Linked DNA regions of Bombyx mori. The protein of the gene in region 6 purifies or fractionates together with the protein of the main gene of each other region. This does not show direct contact. Links are inferred from orthologs where the notes say so. Each region holds a gene or a part of one and is shown on either strand. Other genes may lie near its edges.

Region 1 (2,600 bases), on a different chromosome or scaffold from region 6:
GGATGACTTGTTCAAAATCTTCTGGAAAAAATGGATGATTAGACACCAACTCTCTACTGGTGATAGACTTTTATTTCGTGTTTAAAGTTGGCATTAAAATTGTGATTTCTATTTATTGTATTTGATCTATTCGCTGGTAGCTTCTATGGCTTCGGTGCCCACCTAAAGACAGGTGAGTTCTGAGTCATTTTAGTCATCTCTTCAGTGTCCACTTCAGTTTTGGTGATAACGCGTATTGTGAACCCAAAGAGTATCAGCTTATCAACACTACTGGTAGTAGAGCCTCTTGTGAGTCCGCACGGGTAGGTACAATCACCCTGCCTATTTTTGCTGTGAAGCAGTAATGCGTTTCGGTTTGAAGGGTGGGGCAGCCGTTGTAACTATTCTGAGACCTTAGAACTTATATCTCAAGGTGGGAGGCGCATTTACGTTGTCGATGTCTATGGGCTCCGGTAACCATTTAATACCAGGTGGGCTGTGAGCTCGTCCACCTATATAAGCCTTAAAAAAAAACCCAGTCAAACCCTTAGCAGTAAAAAGTTCGTTAAATACGAACAAACTTTGGCGGGAACGCGAGGAGTGTAGTTGTGTGAGTTGTTTTATTTTGTTAATTTAGTGTTTCTTTAGGTTTCATTGTGTATTAACAGTACTTTATTAGCAGTTTAATATCTGTAAAAGTAGACAACATGTGAGAAAATTAAATAAAGCCGTTGGACGTAGCTTCTCGTGATCTTCCAGAAAGTTCCCTGAAATAGTCTCAGTAAATAACCACTATTTTACTAGGACTAAATTTCATCCGATATAATCTCGTTTCGTTTAATTACTTCCCAATTGATTAATGTCAAATTAATCAACTTCATTTTATTTCGCTCCATATTATTGTTCTTTAAACTAATTTCATTTAAATACAGCATTTACAAAAGATTAGTCTGTAGGATGTGATACCTTCGCCTTTTTAGTGGGAGAAACAGAACTAAGTACTACATTACTGTACCTATACGAAAAGTCATAAAATTGAAATTTGAAAAAAAACTCGTAATTGAACTATTTAGTAAGTCGTTATAAATATTTTGTTTTTTTTTTCAAACGTTGGGTAAATTATTCTGCACCATACATTTAATTTTACATAAAAAATGACTACCCTATACTATTAAAATGTAAAGCTGTATAATTCATGTTGCCTCTGATTATTAAAATGAAAAAAAATATAACCAAAAAAACAAATGTCAAAGAAGCCACAACCCGCGTGTCTTTGAAACAACAGTATCAGAATCGTTAATAATATTTATACACAAAATATTTGTGATTTAAGTGTAGAATTGTGGCAAATACCTAAATTTTCTCTCCCTTACGTGAAGATTATTTCCTCAGTGAAGCGAGAGATCGCCGAGAGGTTGAGTTTTATTAATTCAACACCGCGGCATTGTAAACATGGTAAGTTGCACGTGTTAGCGATCTTCTTGGTATTAATTTACCTATAATAAGTCAGTTTTTTCATTAATCAGTTTCAAATTGAAACTTTCAATCATGTGATATCCAAAATACGGTTGCAATTTGAACTCATGTGAATATTTGAGGTTATCTTGAGATTGATTACATTCTAACTACCTAGAACATCTAAACTGTTCATAACTTTAATAATCTACTTTCACAGGCTGAAACCGAAGCTGCAGTGAACCCCAAGGCATACCCATTGGCGGATGCCGCCTTAACCGCTAAAATCCTGAACTTGGTGCAACAAGCTACCAATTACAAGCAACTTCGTAAAGGCGCGAACGAGGCCACAAAGACCCTTAATCGTGGTCTATCTGAGCTCATCATAATGGCAGCAGATGCCGAACCTCTCGAAATTGTTCTTCACATTCCAATTCTGTGCGAAGATAAGAATGTGCCATATGTGTTTGTTAGGTCTAAGCAAGCACTCGGTCGTGCTTGCGGTGTTTCCAGACCCATCATATCTTGCTCGATAACCATCAATGAGGGCTCACAACTAAAGCCTCAGATCCAAACTATTCAGCAAGAAATCGAAAGACTATTAGTTTAAGTATAAATAGACGTGTAAGGAAATTATTTTGTGTCGAATACAATATTTTAATAAAATAACGTATTTTATTTATTGATGCTTTTAGGAACAAAAAGGACCAGGATCTTTTGCTATTTAAACATAAAAAGTAGAACTTTACAATTATGAACTTTTACAATTGTGGCATCCTCCCTGATAATCTTTTCATCAACAAGTGCTTGTGTCTATTCAAACAGTACAGTGAAATGGTTTTTCAGTTCGATTTGAAGTATAGGACAGCTGAATTACAATGTTATCTACTGAGAATTTCACGTGATATAGGTGATGACAATCACTATGTGGTGTAAATACACTGTTAACTGAACAAATAAGGCACAAGTCGTCTAAAAAGAAGCTACATTTGTTTATAAAAAAATGGAGGTCTGCTTTGTTTCCGCTATATAAGTACAAATATTCTTTAGCAGTAGCAATTTTTTTGTTCACATGCCTTTGTCAATAAGCAAAGATATAGATTTTTCCGCTTTCTATTGAAGTTAAATTCTTAATCGCAAATCGCATAAAGCCTTAAATAAAACCA
Region 2 (3,500 bases), on a different chromosome or scaffold from region 6:
CCCAGTACAAAACCTTAAGCCATTAGTGGTATGTTTATTGAAAAAATCCTTTAATTTTTCTCAACTTTTGAGAGAAGATGCTCCATTCCTTTCCCGCAAAGCGTATGATGATAGAAAATTGATAAGGTGCTTGTTAATATTGACATTATTTTACATTGATTTTTTATTTGTATTCTGTTGTCCATTATTCAGCTGTGTTTATGGTTATTACTACTTCTAATATATAAAATTCTCATGTCACGTGGTGCGTGATTGAACTTCTCCGCAACCGCTCGACCGATTTTCGTGAATCTTAGCGTGCATATCGGCCAGGGTGGAGAATCAAATAACATCTATTTTTCATCCCCCTAAATCTTAAGGGTCCACCCCTAAATTTTTTATTTTATTTTTTTGACAAAGATTTTTGTTTTTATTTTTTTATGATACAGCATACAAAAATACATACAACCCTAAATTTTCATCCCTCTATGATCAACCCTTATTTTTTATTTGTTAATTAAAAACTTAAATAAAAAAATTCATATTACTCTAATTTTCACTCTTATACGATCAACCCCTGTTTTTCCATCCCAATTTTTATTTTTTTTATTCTATGCACAGTTCCGCAATAAGGTTGCAAGATGGCAATCAAATATTATAATTGTAGTACGATAAATTCGTATTCAGAGTTTAGAATTTCAAGTTCCTTTAATTATGATTTTTTTTTAAATTCAATTTGATCTCCCGCCTTCGCCGGTCGATTACTGATCAACTATCAATCGATCAGTTATCCCCGCCAGGGGTTACCACTCATCCAGCACACATCACGTAGTAGGGATGAGGACAAAGCCGGTCTCCTGTCATACTCACTATACATTTTTCGGCCAGTTTTTTTTGGTTTTATTTGTGTATCTATCGTAGCAGTAACTGTTATACCTATTATTTTAATTTTTCTGTGCAACTCTCATGTTAATTTTACTGTCATCGTAAAATTATCATTAATTTCCAGTGCAATAATTATTTATTTACAATCTTATATATAAAATTCTCATGTCACAATGTTAGTTACCATATGCATGTTCAGTAGGTCTGAGAATCGGCTACTATCTATTTTTCATACCCATAAGTGATAAGGGTTGTCTACCCCTAACATTTATTTTTATTTTTGGACATTTTTTTTTGTTATAATGAGGCATTACCTAGGTATGTGGTTGAATGAGGTTTTGTTATTTTTATACTCCCTAATCGTTCACAGCGCTACAGGCCTCTTTCACTCATTTACCACATCCTTACACACTTACAATAAGATACTTTTTTTCTACACTATAATTTCCCTAGAAATCTTATATATGACAAAACAACGTTTTCCGGGTCAGCTACTAGTCAATAAAAATACAATTAAGCAACACATAGAACTTTTAGGCTTAACTTAAGGCCATCTTAATCCGCAGTTACTCTATCAGCATAAAATTATAAAAAGGATCAATAAATATTTTGTATATTGATTGAAGTGTTTCATAGTAATTTTATCTAAATTTTGTTGCAGAATACTGTGAACTTGAACAGTGACAGTGCCAGATTTAAAATGGGAAAAGAGTAAGTAAAACTAAATCGAAGGTAACTTTCACTATTTTCTATTATACAGACAAAATATAAATTCTCATAATTCAATCGTCGTCGTTAATTTAATCGTTGAAGTCGTCGTGGCCTAAAGGATAAGACGTCCGGTGCATTCGTATGTAGCGATGCACCGGTGTTCGAATCCCGCAGGCGGGTACCAATTTTTCTAATGACATACGTACTCAACAAATATTCACGATTGACTTCCACGGTGAAGGAATAACATCGTGTAATAAAAATCAGACCCGCAAAAATTATAATTTGCTTAATCACTGGTGGTAGGACCTCTTGGGAGTCCGCACGGGTAGGTACCACCACTCCGCCTATTTCCGCCGTGAAGCAGTAATGCGTTTCGGTTCGAAGGGTGGGGGTAGCCGTTGTAACTATACTGAGACCTTAGAACTTATATCTCGAGGTGGGTGGCGCATTTACGTTGTATATGTCTATGGGCTCCAGTAACCACTTAACACCAGGTGGGCTGTGAGCTCGTCTATCCAACAATGCAACAAAAAAAATCATATACATTTAATCAGAACATAAAAACATGAAAACAGAACAATGGGCAAGATTTCTTTTTTAACTGTTTAAAAAATATATTTTATATGCTAGAATCTCTAAGAATTTCAATTATTGTTCATTTAATTTCTTAAATATTCATACACATATATACACACATTATCGCCCTGAAATCTGTCATAGCGGATCATTACTCATTTTGTGGTCTATGTTTCGTAGGTAATTGTAGAAAGTTAATGTCATAATTGGCAATGTCAATCAAATGAACAATAAATAAACAAATAAAAAAATGCAAAGTCAAAATACAAAATCTGTTCCTTCATCAATATGAGCAGTTCCGAAATGAATATTAATATATCAATCGAGTTAATTAATACAAGTAATTTGGAAACCAGGTATATTGCGTTTTGAAGGAATTTTGTTGTATTTAACAATCACATATACTCCTTCAATACCGATTAATTCCTGTGATATTACAGAATTGTTGAATATGTTGTAAAAGGAACTAAAGAAGATAAAATACGACCGAAAGAGCTATTTGTAAGTACCACGTTTTATTTATTTCTCAGGTCTAAGTTAGATGACATAACTAATGGTGATAATTATGAAGAAGATGGAAAAAAGAAAAAGAAAAGCAAGAAACATAAAAAACACAAAAGACCGACTGCCGATGAAGAGGATTCTGTAAATTTACATAAAAAGAAAAAGAAATCTAAAAAGGTGAAACAACAGAGCCGAGAACCGGAGAGTGAAACTTCCTTATCTGATGTTGAAGATTTGATCAACAAATCCAAACGGTGTCAGTCGAAAACTGGCAACAACTCTGAATTACATTCTCCTTTGATAGATTCTATAAGTACAATACGTCGGGCTTCTCAAAATGGGGACACTAATTCCCATTATAAGAATCACAATAGAATAGTAGAAATCAAAGAGGACACGTTAGAAATAATATCATCAAATTCTGAAACAGAAAATTATCAGGAAGATTGTGCAAGTCCCGAACTAACAATGATCGAAGACGATCTTAATTTAGAAGAACTCATGAGACAAAAAGAACTATTACAAGCTAGACTTGTAGCATATTTTTCTGATAAAAGTGACGAAGAAAGTATTGACGCCAAAGATGACAAACCTGATGAAATTATTTGTATAAATGACGATGTGGAATCGCCCGAACCGAAAAAATCCAAGAAAGATCATAAACATAGGAGCAAACACAAATCAAGCAAGGACAAGATTTCAGAAAAACATAAACCTCGTCGGCAAGAAGAAGACTTACGTGATATCATTAACAGAGAAAGCAGAAGAGAAATGGAGAAGAAGAGAGAAATAGAAGATAAAGAATATCGTGACAAGAGAGAGAAAGAAAAGCGTAAACAAGA
Region 3 (4,024 bases), on a different chromosome or scaffold from region 6:
TCAAAAGCATTTTAAGTATTGTTTGGAAAAAGAAACATTTTTTAATTCTCACAACAATTTGAGTATTCTGATTAGGTTTTTGACTTATTCTACTCACTTCACCTTCCATTCCACCAGTTCCTTCCTCTTCACCTTCAATATCATTGGAGTTCATAACATTATTCTTCTCTTCTTCAGCACCACTATCTTCTTCGTCGGAATCCAAGGAATGTTTCTTGCCATCCTTCGTGGCCTTTTTTACTTCGTCTATTAATGCTTCGGAAGCGGGACGCTTTGACATTTTGGTAAAGTAACTAAAAGGAACAAATTTTAATTAAAAACATTAAAAAATATTTGGGTTTATCTAACAAAGACTTTAAACTATAGGCACATTCCTAAATTATCATTGAACACTAAGCAAAGTTTTACTCATCCTCACCCTAATAATATTTTGGGCGCCTTTTCTTGAATAGGTGAACTCAAATTGAGTGAATCAGATTCAACTAGGTTGGTACACGGTTGGTACCTCTTCTTAATTGTGATTGTGTGTCTGTTGCCGTGTGTTAGGTACGCTATCAATGAAATCAATGTTTTTATGTCTATCAAGGTATGGTCTCAAATCTCAATTATTAATTTTATTATGTGTATCAATGACTCGAATATTTAAGTGTATAATCTATGTCTATGACTACGATGTTTGGTTTTAGGACTTTTTGGCGGGAACGCGAGGGGTGAAGTTGTGTGATTTGTTTTATTTTGTCTATTTAGTGTTTCTTCGGGTTTAGATATGTAATAATGGTGGTTTATTAACTGTTTAATATGTGTGTAACTGTATTTTTCTTCTTCTTTACTTAGACATTTTTGTCCACTTTGAGATTTAATTGTTATATATCTGTGCAAAACCGACTTACTTATATTAAATTGCTTAGCTATTTCAACTAAAGACTTATTCCCAAATTCATAGTCTTCTATTGCTGTTTTTAATATTAAGGGATCATATCTCTTATAAAGCTTGCACTCTTTGATACATACACGCGAGGCATATCTAAAAATAGAAAACAATACGTAACTGATAATATAAATATAATTGCACTAATAATTAAATAAAAGTTTTAGACAAAAACATCATGAATAAATGAGATTCTTACCAACACGTTTAAAAAAGATTGTTATAACTACATAGACAACCCTACAATCCTGTACGTATTTATACTTAAGTCGTTCCCATTCAACTTATTGTCGTCCCAATTGACCTCCCTTTCATTGTTATTTGTAGCTCAGGTGACCCCATTAACCCCAAACATAACAATTTTAATATGTATTTTTAAATTATCAAAAAACATTAAAACCAATAACAATTGAGACTTACCGTTAATATATATGATGGCTCAAACACTAAATAAAGTTTTTATATCACAGTCGTCTTATATTATTATCAAATAATATATGCTGGCTTAACCATCAACTGGTGTTCGGTTGTAAAGGACCTAGGCCTACTTATTGACTCCAGCCTGAGTTGGCGAGCCCAGGTCATCTCCGTGTGTCAGTGAGTTACACTTACACTCCGTATGCTTTACCGCCTGAACAATATCCTTCCGCCCGAAACCAAGAGACAATGCTCGTTTAAACTTTGATCTTCCCCATGATCGACTATGGTGATGTGTGCTACTTTGACCTGAATGCAGATCTACTCAATAAACTTAACCGGCTTCTCAATAACTGCATTCGATTTATTTATAATCTTCGGAAATACGATCATGTATCTTCTCATCGCTCCCAACTCAAATTGCTCCCCATTCGACAACGCCGTAGCTTGCGTGCTCTCAGTACTCTTTACTCTTTGTTGCACTTCCCAAATCCACCTGAATACTTAGGGTTTGACTACAGCCAAAATCTTCGTTCATCTCACAATCTTCTTCTTCGCTGTTAGTTCGCAGGTAGTTCGGACTTTTTACATTCTTCCTTCACTATTCAATCTATTCTTCTATGGAATGCGCTCCCACTTAAAATAAGGTCGGCCAGAGTTTAAGACAAGGTTTCGAGTACTTAGAATCAATTAGATGACTCTGCTAAGAGTTAGCAGAGTCATCTAATTGATATTTATTTATATATACACATTTTTATATGTATATATTTATGTATATGTATTTATTTAACAAACAAACAACTGTCTGTACAAACTGTTTAAATAGCACTCGGGAGTTATTTTGCGAAAAAAAACTGTCACACTTTTGGATTAGAAAAAAATAGATGTTGCTTCAGCTGAAGCACTGTAGTGCGCTACCGAAGAATTACACAATCAACGTGAAAAAAGAGCAACCGGTTGGCGATGTATCGCATCCCGACCCGACAGCCTGGTTCTAGTCCAGCGGGGTATTCCGGGACTCCAGTCGCACTGTGTGGGTGGCCTGACGGGCTATCGTACCCAGACGGCTGACGGCTGTAGAGCATTCCGTCTCAAAGGCTCCGTCGACCGGACGTCCTCGGGGGAGCTGCGCTGTCTGTAGTGTTGACCGCGATAACCCCTTTACCTCACCCGGGTTCTGACCTGGAAGGGTATCAGACGATTGGGCGAGAGTGCAGGGGAGTTGTGTAGTGGGTATGGCCCTAAATTCTATCCTTTAGGCCCGCGGTACCGGCGAAGGCGGACTTTCGGCGCGGTATTGTGGGTTTCGTGGAGTCGTAGCGGTCAGTAAGCCCCCTCAACCGGGTAACCGTACGGATTCTACAGCGTTAAAAAAAAACAAAAAGAAGGCCCGCGGTTCACTCCCATACCCCATGCGCCCCTAGGGGCGGGGTATTCCTAGAAAGTTCGGCCCCCAGTCCAAAAAAAAAGATCAAGCACTTCAAACCGCATTTCGTCGACTTTCGCCAGGGAAACTGCTTAGCTGAGTGTTAAGCAACATACCTTGATAAAAAAGTCGTCGGGGCCTAAAGGATAAGACGTTCGGTGCATTCGTGTTGAGTGATGCATCGGTGTTCGAATCTCAGGTGGGTACCAATTTTTCTAATGAAATACATACTCAACTAATATTCTGGATTGACTTCCACGGTGAAGGAATAACTTATTTATTTATTTTATTTATTTATGTACACACAGAAAAAAAGACATAGTACAGAGTAATAGGAAAATTATGTACAAAGGCACTGCTTATTTCTTTAAGAAATCTCTTCCAGCAAACCTGCGAGAGGATAATGAGAATAATAATAAAAAGTGATAAGTGTGTGTAGAACAAATAATACATAACTAAAACAACAAATACAACATGAGAATTATAGTAATGCACTTACACATACCAAATATTGTTAAACTTGAGTACAAAATATTATAAGTCACAGTAACACTCGTATATACGAAGAGTATAGAACCATGATCACTCGGTTGATGAGAGATAAAATTGTTTGACCTTGTATTTAAAAACAGAAACAGACTTGCAAACTCGGATGTCAGCCGGCAACGAATTCCACAGTCTGACCGCGTGCACAGTAAAGGAGTGAGAATAGAAATTGGTTTTGTGAGAAGGGAATAACAAAACAGAACGTTGGTTGGACCTGCAGGGAGCATCAGGAGAACGAATGAAAGAGAATCGCTCACGTAAATATAAGGGAGAAGTGGGCTTATGTAGGATATTGAATAGGAGACATAATATTCGAGTATTCCTACGAAGGCGTATAGGGAGCCATTTAAGTTCTTTGCGAAAATGTGAAACATGATCGAATTTTCTGAGATTGTATATAAAACGGATACATAGATTTTGCATCCTCTCAAGCTTGTTTGAGAGCTCCTCAGTGGCATCCAAGTAGCAGGCATCGGCGTAATCAATTATGGGTAGAATGAGAGCTTGGACGAGAGATATTTTTGTATGCTGAGGTAAGAAGCCCTGCAGACATCTCAACGAGTGCAAGGCGAAGTGCACCTTCCTACTAATCTCAGCAACGTGAGAACTCCACGAAAGATGTCGATCCATACACCCAGGTTTTTAACTGAATCGGTTAGAGTTATTTGAGTCCCATCCAAATAAATTGGGGGGAGTATAGGATCGCT
Region 4 (4,300 bases), on a different chromosome or scaffold from region 6:
ACGCATCGCCAAAGAGGAAAGTAACTATATTATAAGTGTCCGCTGAAAGAGAGAAAATTGAGGCGGCGCTATAGTAGCAAGTGGAAAGATTAAAAAAACTGCATCATAAACTATCGCTACCACTTTCACTTACGTAACTTGCGTTCCGTCATTTCCACCTGCGAGATGGTGGACTCAATAATCTGTGGATGAACTTACAAAAGTCAATCGTGTGCCCAGCGACACGGTATAAGTAACGGTCTTTTGGGCTCTTCAAGCACCGGGCATCGTCCTCGTCTTGGTTCATGGCAGACCACTGAGTATCCCCCCGGATCATCACAATGGGTTGCAATTTCGGTCCAGTGGTAAATTCTGCGAAGCAAGCACTGCTTCTACTAGGGCTGGCGTTGACAAATTCTCTCAGGCTGAGCCCGTGAGCTTACCAACCAGTCCATGCGAAGCTAAATATAGGCCCGCATTTTTTTTTTACCTGTGCTGATAAACTTGAGAGGCTATTTCAGCTTCGCCCTAACATGTAGGTGAGCTCATGGGGCTCAAACCTGACGACGTTGCTAACATGGATCCTAGCAAGAGCCGTGCTTCGCAGAATCTACCACTGGATCTGAAACGCGGCCCACTGAGAAGATCCGGCGAGAAACTCAGTGGGCTGTGTCTGTGGGTTAATTTACTCGCCGAGCCCTTCGTCGCAAACTACGGGTTTGGCGAGGACGGTGACCGGTGCTTGAGGTACCTAAAAGCATCGTTAGTGGATGGGGAGGATCCGTAATGGTGTGTTTTGGGCGACGTCGACTGCTTTCCATTCGGTTCGCAGGATCGGGAATGGACTTTAGCCCCGTAGGCCACCAACCCGGTATATATATCTTATCTATGCCACTAGCAAATAGGTAGGGAAAAAAAAAGAAGATCCAAGTAGCTGTGACTCATTACCACCTGCGATAATTATAAGGTGAGACGCCTTCTACCACATTTACAGGCAACAGTATAGCCAAGGTAAGCATTGGAGTTTTGAGATTTTATTAATTTAGAGATTCTTTAGATCAGATTCTTCAGATAAACCTCAGGTCTGACCATTGGTGGTTTGTTCACTGTCTAATATTTCTAAAAGTCCACAAATATTGGAAAAAGGAACAAAATCTCCCAAATATTTTCTAAAAAGTTAATCCAATTTTCAATAATTTTCACTATTTTTCTGTAAGTATGTTTAAGTTCACAATTTGTTAATTAACCCGTTTTTCTTAAATTGCATGATAAGTAAATTCGATAGCTTCTCGGGATCTTCCAAAAAGTCTACGTAAAAAATCATCATTTCACTGAGACTATATTTTATCGCATATCATGTCGTTTCATAATTTTATCACAATTGAGTAATGTCTCAAATTAATCAACTTAATTTCATTTCGTTCCTTTTAGTTTTTATAAAACAGAAAATACAAAAATTAGGTTGTATGGTCGGATTTCGTTGCCTTTCCAGTTAGAAAAATGGAACCACTACTTTATTTTGACAATTGACAAATACCTCCACAATCACATTCTGCCAATCGCCATTATTCGTTCGTTTGTGAATTTAACAAATACAAAACTACACAGTTATTGATTACTCTCGTGTGATAAACAATGGCGATAGTAGAAGACGAAATTCAGAACGGTTCTGAAGGGGAAAATGAAATTGAAGTTGTGGTTGAAGAAGATGATGGCGACCAGGATCCAGATTCTGATGTAAGCTATTCTGATTTTAATTTACAAAATGATACTTTGTCTGTATTTCAAGTTAATTAGCCGGTTTTCATTTTAATACATGTGATTCTACGTTTTACCAAAGCAAATTATAATTTGTAATTATTAACTCCATTTAAAAATACAAATTGAACCTAATTTTGAAATCATAATACAATGTATCATAATAGAATGTAAACATGTTTTGTATATTTGCTTTCTTTAGTATGTAGCTGTACAAACTTAACTATAAAAATATCTACCTTATTGTGACACCAATAGCATATGTAAAGGGAAGTTTAAACAAATAAAAAAAATGAAATTTTGGTTCATTGTTTTTTTTGTTTATATTTTTTTAGTTTTTTATTACACAGATAGGTGGACGAGCTCACTGCCCACCTAGTGTTAAGTGGTTACTGGAGCCCATAGATATCTACAACGTAAATGCGCCACCCACCTTGAGATATAAGTACTAAGGTCTCAGTTTAGTTCCAATGAATTGGAATGAAAACGTAAACTCTGCTAATAATTGTAGGCACAAATGTCTAGATGTAAATTAAGTTTTGGGTCAATTTAAAGATAATATAATATAAAAGTATTTTCTTCATTTTTCAAAGGTCATAGATATAACTAAAACTTCTTTTATGATTTAATCGAGCAATTTAATGTCTAAAGCTTAAACTCCACTGGCATTTTGCAAATTTCACTTTCAGCAACAGGATGGACTCAACATATGCACTGTTAATCCCTGTGTTTCTAAGATATTTGTCTTATTCCTATGCTTCAAATACAATTCAGTTACATTTTTCATGGACACACAAGATAAAATTTATCAATAAATAAAATGAGAAACGTATAACTATTAAACAATGTTAAAATATATATAGTAAAATAATTTTCTGTGCTTATAATATTGTTATTATAACCCCACAGTTGCTGTCAAGAGGGTTGGATGTCCAAAATAAAGTTTTAATATAATCTAGCCAGTTGCTTTACAGTCTTGAAAAAAACGTTTTATTGTTATAAAATTTGTAGTTAGCATACAGGGTTGGGATGACACGGTTGCCTTGAATGAAAACACAACCCTTACTAATTAAAAATAAAAACATAAGATTTTAACAAAATAAGGAAATGAGAAGGTATTCAAAGATAATATATTGTTTGTATATGGTCCTCAAGTAATTGATCTTTTTTCTCAAGCAGTGTCCGACTTAATCTCATTAATTGAGTTTGAAAACATTTCCCGGCAATGTTTTTTATTTGTGATCATAATTCCATCAAAATTGACCAGCATTTATTGTTGAAGCCACATATTAATAAATAGCAAGAATTTCGTTGTGCACCTAATACATAAGTTTCACAAAATTATAAAGTTTATTACTATCTTCTTAAATGTAATTTACTGAGCTCATTAAATTATAATTCAAGGAAGTGAATAATTGAGAATATGGTCATGTGTATAAATTATTGAAACATAATCGAGTGATACAAGAAAAACTATCTTAGTAACTAGTTATTTCAAACCTCCAAGGAGTGTGAATATTTATTATAACTTGTGCAATATCCAAGCAAAGTAAAAATTGAAAATGTTTACAATATTCAGAAATAATAAATTTTAGGATGAAATATTGGAGATGGGAGATTGGCAGAGGAAAGTGGCCGAATATGAACACAAAATCACATTACATCCTTTTAATTATGATGATCACATTGAATTGATCCAGACTTTGTGGTAATTATTATATTGAATTTCTCAAATAAGTTTTTTTTTTAATAATTTGTTCCTAAAATGTTTTGATCAGAAATTTTCCTTTAATCAAATTTAATATTACTTCATTTAGAGCGGGGAATCCCAAAGTGTTTCAAATCTTGTTTTTTTATTAAACATGTGAGTTAGAATTTTATAATTTATAGATATGTATTTGCCAAAAACAAAGCATATCAAATTTTCAGGCGTCTATCGGAACTGGGGCAATGGCGAACGGCGTTTGAAAGATTATGGGAGATGTCAGTTATAAAAGTTGATCATTGGCTCTTGTGGCTCCGAACAGAAGAGAATATTTCACAGTCTGAAGAACTAATTGCCAATTTATTCTATAAGGCAACCTGTGATTGCTACTGTGAGTACATTTAACTTCAGAACATTTAAATTCTAACTGCTTTAAAAACGAAATATTTCGGTGTTTTAGTTATTCTAGCTATTCAAGTACTTTTTCTACTTAACCAGACAAAGCTTACCTTACTGTGAGTGGTAACAATTGCTCATGGAAATCACCAATGCTGGGGCAGTGGCCTGGATCTGAATACTTACTTCACTGGTGGTAGGGTTCTGTGTAGAAGCCCGCCCGGGTTGGTACCACCGTCCTGTCTATTTCTGCCGCAAAACAGTAATACTGTGTTCCGGTCTGAAGGACAGGATAGCCGGTGTAACATACATAAGGCTGCCCATCCAGGCCAGGATAGGCAGCGCATCTGAGTCACTGATGTAGTTTGGATGTCTATGGGCGACGGTTATCATTTCCCATCAGATGAGCCGTAAGATCGTCCGCCTATCGAAAGTAATAAAAAAAAAAAAAAAAATCCTACT
Region 5 (3,500 bases), on a different chromosome or scaffold from region 6:
AGTCCACACGGGTAGGTACCACCACTCCGCCTATTTCTGCCGTGAAGCAGTAATGCGTTCCGGTTTGAAGGGTGGGGTAGCCGTTGTAACTATACTAAGAAGTTAGAACTAATATCTCAAGGTGGGTGGCGCATTAACGTTGTAGATGTCTATGGGCTCCAGTAACCACTTAACACCAGGTGAGCTGTGAGCTCGTCCACCCATCTAAGCAATAAAAAAAAAGATGTTGGGTATAAGGTGAAAAAAAGAACAGATTAAAACAACAAATTTTATTTAACAAACCATCACCAAAATATTCGAGATTTTTTTTACTACATGAGAATTGCTACCAAAGAACTTATTTCACAAACAACAAAAAGGAACTTAAGGAAAATTTCTACACCCACTTAAACAAATTGGGCTAAAAAAGATTAAGCCTTTTCAATTTGACATATTCATACATTTATAGGTACTCTGTTTATAAAACTATTTTTATTTAGTTACATTTAAATAATTTCTAATAAATTGAAACTATTTTCATGGATGGAGATAATTTTCGAGGTATGATTTCGAAGGAAATGTTTTATTAGGATCTATTTTGAAGATGATTATTTGCACTTTAATTCGGCCAAAATACATGTTTTTTTTAAATCCATAATAATATTTTAGTTTGTCCATGCTAAACCGCTAATTAGATGAACCAACTCTTAATGCATCTTTGAAAACCTACTTTTCATTTATTTAAAGTATATAACGATGTAATTCTGGTTAGTATACTCTCCAAACAAACTATGTATAATTATTTAATTCTAAATTTAGAGCAGAGTACCTCTGACAATTAATTTAGATAATAATAAAATAAATGTAAAATGTATGCAAAAGATCTTTCAATTACCTATGCAAATATTGCATTCGAGACTCAAGGAAATAATTTATCACAATCATCACTTGATTCCTATTTTTAACTAGGTAAAACAAGCTTTACAAAGAACTAGGAGACCTCATAGGGATTTCACAATTAGAAATAAAAAGATAACATACACATTTAAAAATTATAAACAATATAAAACTGAGCAAGATTTGAGGTTGTTTTATATACTTTGGCACAATTCACATTTCACCTAACGTTAAGGTAGCTCTTACAGACTAATTCGTGTAGTTCTCTTCATAATCCAAAATGTAATTTAATTTCTGTTATAGTTTAATCTTAAATGTTCAATTTACACTAACAGATTTGCTTTTAATTATCGTGACCGATACGCATGTAAGTATGCAACAAGGTATTGCCTGCATTCTCAATGTAAGGCTTTCGTAAGCGTTCGACTTAGTGAAGATTACGTCAATCTATTTACACAGTTTACTTCTGCTTAAGAATGAATGGCTTTAAAAACTTATGTAAAACTTAAACATGAAATGACATCTAGTGTGTTTTGATAAAAAGAAACGCAAGTAGATCTGTGTGCTTAGTGCGAGTTTTTTAACGTTCTCGATAGCGTAAAAGTTAGCTTATATTTGTACGGAATGGAATCGTTTGCCTACGTTTACCGCTAGGGGCGCTGTTCTAACTGCATACAAAATTGGGTTAACCTTTACACTATCGAGAACGTTAAAAAACTCGCACTAAGCACACTGCACCTTGAGATTAAAATCTGCGGTTCCATTGCTACGCACAGGAACGTTTGGTATGTTTTACTTAGCTTCACTTTATATGAAGAACGGCATGTAAGTCACAGTTTGATGTTGTCGTTAACCCCTCGTTTATATTAAACACCCGACAGCGCGTGGGGCGTTTTAGCAACGTCAGTTAAAACGTAAATATGCTGCGTAAGGAATAGACACGCAGATGTAGAAACGTATACATTTCTGGACGCCGGACGCGCGTGTGATTTTTGCGTACATGCTACGCAGCAATGGAATCGAAAAGAGAGAAAACATGCAAACAAAGAGAAGTGTTTTTAAATGTGAATACCTAGTAGGACGTGCCAGTTATATTTGAATAGGGGATTAGACTGCGCTGTTGTGTAGCGTCCCGGTGACGAGCGCGGGCACGATGGCGCCGGCCGGCAGCCGGGGGTGCGCGGGGGAGGCGGCCGGCAACTCCACCAGCACGCTCGCACCGCACGCGCTCAACAGACGACTACTGCACTGTACGACATAAACATAAACTTCATATTAAAATTTATGCCCTCCCTGCACATACACGAAGTAGTTTCGACTACCTGTCGGATTCACTGTGTTAATTTAATTTTAATGCGTTCAACGCCGTGCGGCCCACCGGTGAGCCTGGCTTACTATAAAATTCGGGCCTAGACCAAAATCAGGGAATCCGTAATTTTTATCCTATGCCTCTTTCTATGGCATAGGATAATAATGCCTATTTCTGCGGTGAAGCAGTAATGCGATCCGATTTGAAGGGGGGGGGGGGGGGGGGCAGCCCTTGTAAGTATACTGAGACCCTATAACTCATATCTCATGTGGCGGCATTTACATTGTAGATATCCAAGGGCTCTATGGGCTGGCCAAAAAAAAAAAGTTACCTGGTTGCCCAACAACTTCACAGTGGGCATGTCGTCGTCCTGGGACACGTCGATGTCGGCCCGCGCGTACTCCGGGCGGGGGTCGAGCGCGACGCCGTGCGCGAGCTTGGCGCGGAGTCTGGGCCACGAGCCCCTCTTGCCGCTGCACACGCGCAGACCTCGGATCACGAACAGCAAACAGCAAACGTAGGCAGAAACTGGATTACCTATCGAACAATTAATAAATTACATTATTTTTTCTCGTTAAAATATCGGAGTATTAAATACCCGATTCTTGCAACTTCCAAAAAGGAATCCGAAATTCCCAGTGCACTTTATTAGTCTAAGACGATCTGTTCTATAAGTGTTGAACAGTGATTGCGTGATTGGTGTTTGTTGCCTGTGTTAACTTTGTATATTATTGTTTCTTCTTCTAGTATGTCTATTAGAACAAACCGTCTCCGTTGCAGCAAATATAATGGATGGCTGGTTCAATATATCTGCTATATTATATAATTTAATAAATATTAATACAAATAACAAAGAAATGTTTTACCAGGCAATGCAAAAATAAATTTAGTTTTTCCTTCAAACTGGCATGTTGCAAAAGTCGACGGCTTGCCGGGCTTCATGCGAACGCGTCCATAGTGAAGTGTTGCACCGAAATCCTGAAGTCAGAATTTAAAACAATTCGACACAAATTTAAACAATTTAATAGTAACCACGGCTAGTCCTTCAAACTGAAACGCTTACTGCTTCCCGGCAGAAACAGGCAGGGTGGTGGTACCTACCCGTGCAGGCTCACAAGAAGCCCTACCACCAACACTAAAAAATCTCTAAGTCATCCAGCAAGTAGGTATATACCAGTTAAAGTCTTATCTTTATTGGTTCTAGATTTTTTTCTAATCTATTGTACAGAGTTTCTTCACAATCGAATAGAAAGTATTGGAACGCACGGATGACAACAAGAAATTCAAAACAATTTTTATTTCGAATCGGAGGTCA
Region 6 (3,500 bases):
AATTTGTTTATCTCGATTTGCTAATGGAGTTTCTGGACTGTAATGGTATAATGGGGGTGTCATGGGTAATCTGAAGCAACTGACTGGTTTTCTGGGGCAGCTGGGTTAGTGCTCAGGAGGTCTCTGCTGATCGCAAGCAAAAAAGACGCAATTTCCTGATGTTGAATTGTGAATAAATTCCTATTCACCATATCATGGTGATCAGCATTTGGTAATAAAGTGTAATACTAAAACAAATTGATAAATATAAAAATGAATTAATTGTTGAATTTTAAAGATTTAACAAAGCTTTTCTAGTCTTCATTTGGCTTTATATTTTTTTATTGCTTAGATGGGTGGACGAGCTCACAGCCCACCTGGTGTTAAGTGTTTACTGGAGCCCATAGACATCCACAACGTAAATGTCGCCACCCACCTTGAGATATAAGTTCTAAGGTCTCAGTATAGTTACAACGGCTGCCCCGCCCTTCAAACCGAAACGCTTTACTGCTTCACGACAGAAATAGGCAGGGCGGTGGTACCTACCCGCGCGGACTCACAAGAGGTCCTACCACCAGTAATTACGCAAATTATAATTTTGCGGGTTTTATTTTTATTACACGAATTTAATTATTTCATTTTTATTTTCAGTCTCGGCGAAGATGCTATCAATAAGAAGCTAGAAGAGGAAGAAGCACGCCTGGAAAGAGACAGAGGTAGAGAAGGTACCTGGTACCACGAAGGTCCCCCGACCTTGAGGCAAGCGAGGATTTGGATAGCCAGGTACTCCCTGCCTAACGCCAAAAAAAGGTCAGTTTCAATTAATTCGACTCTACCCGACTGTGATATCTTGGCTGTGTCATCATTTTCATTACTTCCGGAACCTCCTTGCTGTCCCCTCTAAGGTTAGGTAACGAAGGGTAAAAGGCTGTTTGGTTCAGGCGACATTTTTGCAATATTACAGGAGATCTATTTAAAGTTTTAAAAATTTGCCAAAATAATATTTTAACAAAACAAACTTCTTCAGCTATTCGAATGGAGTAAACTTAATCTATATATTAATACGTGAAGCAAAAACTTTGTATCCCTTTTTACGAAAAATTTGGGGATGGAGGAGCATGAAATTTCTCACACTTATAGAGAATTTAGAGAAGGAGTGCACAATGCTAATATTTTTTTTAAATACTGCATAAAAGAAAACATTACATACCCTACATACCATGTATTTGACGCACACACGCATGCATACTATTTATTGTCAAACTTTTGTTCTTGACGTCTGTTGTCAAATTGAGATTAAATATTGTTTGTCTTTATTAATATTTTTTATAGTGTAGTCTTGGCGAAATTTGTGATTATAGAAGTATAAAATACAATCATAATAGTATACAAACTTATAAATTCAATTAATTATAGTCGAATTTCGACTACTGGGTGACCGCTAGTTCAATTAAAAATATCGAAATGTTGATGCTGATTCGAAATATAAAACGGACCTTTGATTACAAAGATAAATGTCTCTTAAACTAAAGAGCCTTACACCACTCGATATATATAGAAATATTGTGGATTCATTCTGGTGTCTTAAATTATGATGGGGGGTGCGCAGGGCCGGATTTAAACTTAATGCCGCGCTCCTGGTTATCGGAAAAAAAATCCGCCCTAATACTGGAATTTTACTTAAACTTATAGTTAATATATTTTATTTAAAAAAATTAAAATATCTAATTTATTGCAGAAACTTTATCATATTTTATGTCATATATTCCAAAAATGTAAATAAATATTTTTGTTTTTTTTTCTAACAATCTTAAATTTTGCACTAAAGGGTGACTAATAATAATAATATAATTAGAAATCACGACTCAAAATATTAAAAAAATATAATTAGAACGATACAAAATACAATTTTCAACAATTATTGATTTTAAATACTAATGACAAAATGTGGGTAACTAAGTTGACACGCGAATGTACAACGTCCGTCTATCCCTGGTGCTGAGATCAGAAAGAGGCCGTGAACGAGGCAATATGTTAGTGGTGTCCTCAACTCCCCTCTTCAACTCCGACCAGTCTGAAGTCGCTGCTGTATTACGTCAGCAGGCCACGCCCACTTCCGTCTTCTTTCCTTAGAATATATTACATAAAAAAAAAACTAATTAAATTTCTTTAATTACAGAAAATAGAAGATCGATTATTATTAAAAAATCTCAAGGAAATAAATTGATTAAATCAATTTTGATTATTAATTTTTACCAAAAGTGCCAAAGTTATAATTCTATTCATGAGTGAATTGAATTTCTTGAATTATCAATAAAAAAGAAAATTATTAATTAATTATATTGAGCAATCTCGACAAGAAAAAAAAATTTTTTTCACTTTCAAAAATTACCACCCTGGGCACTTTCCCCGATCGCCCCTAGTGTAAATCCACCACCACTGGGGGGCGCGACATGTCTATGGACTCGTGTAAGTTACTCGATTATTGTTACAGGCTAAACAAAGCCCGCGAGGAACTCAAGTTGGCTGGCAGTGTGCGCGCCGCCGCTAAGCAGGAGTCGCAACGGAAGGCGTCTGCCTTTAGCATTTACTGCAGCCAGGTGAGGCCCAGGTCGTGGGGGATAGAGGGTACCTAAGTTCCTGCTACACCCCCCCCCACTGTCTCCCTCCCAAGTGAACGCACTTCGTTGGACGGTCGTCGCTGTGGACCCTCAGAAGTTGCAGTGGTGGGGGCCAGTGGGGTGGGTAATATAGAACTAGGATCAAAATGGCCGACTATGACCCTGTGATGTTACGTATCCTAGTAAATTAGCGAAACGCATTACTGCTTCACGGCAGAAATAGGCAAGGTGGTGGTACCTACCCGCGCGGACTCACAAGAGGTCCTACCGCCATTCCTTAGGAACCATGGTGCTGCAACGGATATCCTGCAAAAACGGAACGTCTTAGTTTTTACCGGCTAGGCCCACGTGATGTCGCAGTCACAAGGTTCTCGTGTCAGGGCTGTCTCGTTCCAAACCTGAGCACGTGGCCACCTCGTGGCGGCCCTAAGCGTGCGGGGCAGCTCAGCACATAAATCTGTGGTGCTCTTCATCAGATCGGGGACACGAGGCCGCTGAGCTTCTGCAGGTTCAGCCAGGACAGCAAGATGCTGATCACTTCGAGCTGGTGAGGGTCTTTGCCGATATTTTTCTTCTTTTTTTTTACCTAAGCTGATAGATAGCCTTGAGAGGCTATTTCAGCGTAACTTTAATCAAATCAAATCTACCGCCAATTCATAAAAAGTAGTCCCCGTCTTGAGAAGAACTGGCAAGAAACTCAGCGGGCATGCATTTTTTTTTTTTTTTTAAACTAGTAGGTGAGCTCACGGAGCTCAAACCTGACGACGTTGCTAACACGAACCCCAGCAAGAGCCGTGCTTCGCAGAATCTACCACCGGATCGGAAACGCATCAATGCAAACGCAAAATGTATTAATTGTTAACTAATTCTTCTTCTTTGTCTCCATCTTATCCCCCTAGG

The links.
Region 1: the proteins of U4/U6 small nuclear ribonucleoprotein Prp4 (region 6) and RpL7Ae purify together in Homo sapiens (affinity purification with mass spectrometry; 4 studies listed by BioGRID and IntAct, counting the BioPlex papers as one, with this or other methods). This does not show direct contact. The link is inferred for Bombyx mori from reciprocal best matches to the Homo sapiens genes PRPF4 and SNU13.
Region 2: the proteins of U4/U6 small nuclear ribonucleoprotein Prp4 (region 6) and serine/threonine-protein kinase PRP4 homolog purify together in Homo sapiens (affinity purification with mass spectrometry; 3 studies listed by BioGRID and IntAct, with this or other methods). This does not show direct contact. The link is inferred for Bombyx mori from reciprocal best matches to the Homo sapiens genes PRPF4 and PRP4K.
Region 3: the proteins of U4/U6 small nuclear ribonucleoprotein Prp4 (region 6) and CD2 antigen cytoplasmic tail-binding protein 2 homolog purify together in Homo sapiens (affinity purification with mass spectrometry; 3 studies listed by BioGRID and IntAct, with this or other methods). This does not show direct contact. The link is inferred for Bombyx mori from reciprocal best matches to the Homo sapiens genes PRPF4 and CD2BP2.
Region 4: the proteins of U4/U6 small nuclear ribonucleoprotein Prp4 (region 6) and squamous cell carcinoma antigen recognized by T-cells 3 purify together in Homo sapiens (affinity purification with mass spectrometry; 5 studies listed by BioGRID and IntAct, counting the BioPlex papers as one, with this or other methods). This does not show direct contact. The link is inferred for Bombyx mori from reciprocal best matches to the Homo sapiens genes PRPF4 and SART3.
Region 5: the proteins of U4/U6 small nuclear ribonucleoprotein Prp4 (region 6) and gephyrin purify together in Homo sapiens (affinity purification with mass spectrometry; 3 studies listed by BioGRID and IntAct, counting the BioPlex papers as one, with this or other methods). This does not show direct contact. The link is inferred for Bombyx mori from reciprocal best matches to the Homo sapiens genes PRPF4 and GPHN.

What each region holds. Positions count from the first base shown.
Region 1 is NC_085117.1:6,325,518-6,328,117, forward strand, and holds RpL7Ae (ribosomal protein L7Ae), read left to right. Parts: upstream 1-1,226; 5' UTR 1,227-1,431; coding exon 1,432-1,434; intron 1,435-1,654; coding exon 1,655-2,044; 3' UTR 2,045-2,100; downstream 2,101-2,600.
Region 2 is NC_085107.1:3,222,865-3,226,364, reverse strand, and holds part of serine/threonine-protein kinase PRP4 homolog, read left to right. Parts: intron 1-1,525; 5' UTR 1,526-1,564; coding exon 1,565-1,575; intron 1,576-2,684; coding exon 2,685-3,500. UniProt on the Homo sapiens protein: Serine/threonine kinase involved in spliceosomal assembly as well as mitosis and signaling regulation. Connects chromatin mediated regulation of transcription and pre-mRNA splicing.
Region 3 is NC_085111.1:10,749,928-10,753,951, forward strand, and holds the start of CD2 antigen cytoplasmic tail-binding protein 2 homolog, read right to left. Parts: upstream 2,801-4,024; 5' UTR 1,349-2,800; intron 1,025-1,348; 5' UTR 891-1,024; intron 665-890; exon of another isoform or gene 419-664; intron 294-418; 5' UTR 281-293; coding exon 98-280; intron 1-97. UniProt on the Homo sapiens protein: Involved in pre-mRNA splicing as component of the U5 snRNP complex that is involved in spliceosome assembly.
Region 4 is NC_085122.1:6,475,722-6,480,021, reverse strand, and holds the start of squamous cell carcinoma antigen recognized by T-cells 3, read left to right. Parts: upstream 1-1,500; 5' UTR 1,501-1,614; coding exon 1,615-1,716; intron 1,717-3,332; coding exon 3,333-3,445; intron 3,446-3,666; coding exon 3,667-3,833; intron 3,834-4,300. UniProt on the Homo sapiens protein: U6 snRNP-binding protein that functions as a recycling factor of the splicing machinery. Promotes the initial reassembly of U4 and U6 snRNPs following their ejection from the spliceosome during its maturation.
Region 5 is NC_085122.1:5,872,652-5,876,151, reverse strand, and holds the end of gephyrin, read right to left. Parts: intron 3,164-3,500; coding exon 3,052-3,163; intron 2,723-3,051; coding exon 2,517-2,722; intron 2,125-2,516; coding exon 1,984-2,124; 3' UTR 255-1,983; downstream 1-254. UniProt on the Homo sapiens protein: Microtubule-associated protein involved in membrane protein-cytoskeleton interactions. It is thought to anchor the inhibitory glycine receptor (GLYR) to subsynaptic microtubules.
Region 6 is NC_085130.1:18,540,135-18,543,634, reverse strand, and holds part of U4/U6 small nuclear ribonucleoprotein Prp4, read left to right. Parts: intron 1-630; coding exon 631-789; intron 790-1,844; exon of another isoform or gene 1,845-2,473; coding exon 2,474-2,579; exon of another isoform or gene 2,580-3,076; coding exon 3,077-3,147; exon of another isoform or gene 3,148-3,500. UniProt on the Homo sapiens protein: Plays a role in pre-mRNA splicing as component of the U4/U6-U5 tri-snRNP complex that is involved in spliceosome assembly, and as component of the precatalytic spliceosome (spliceosome B complex).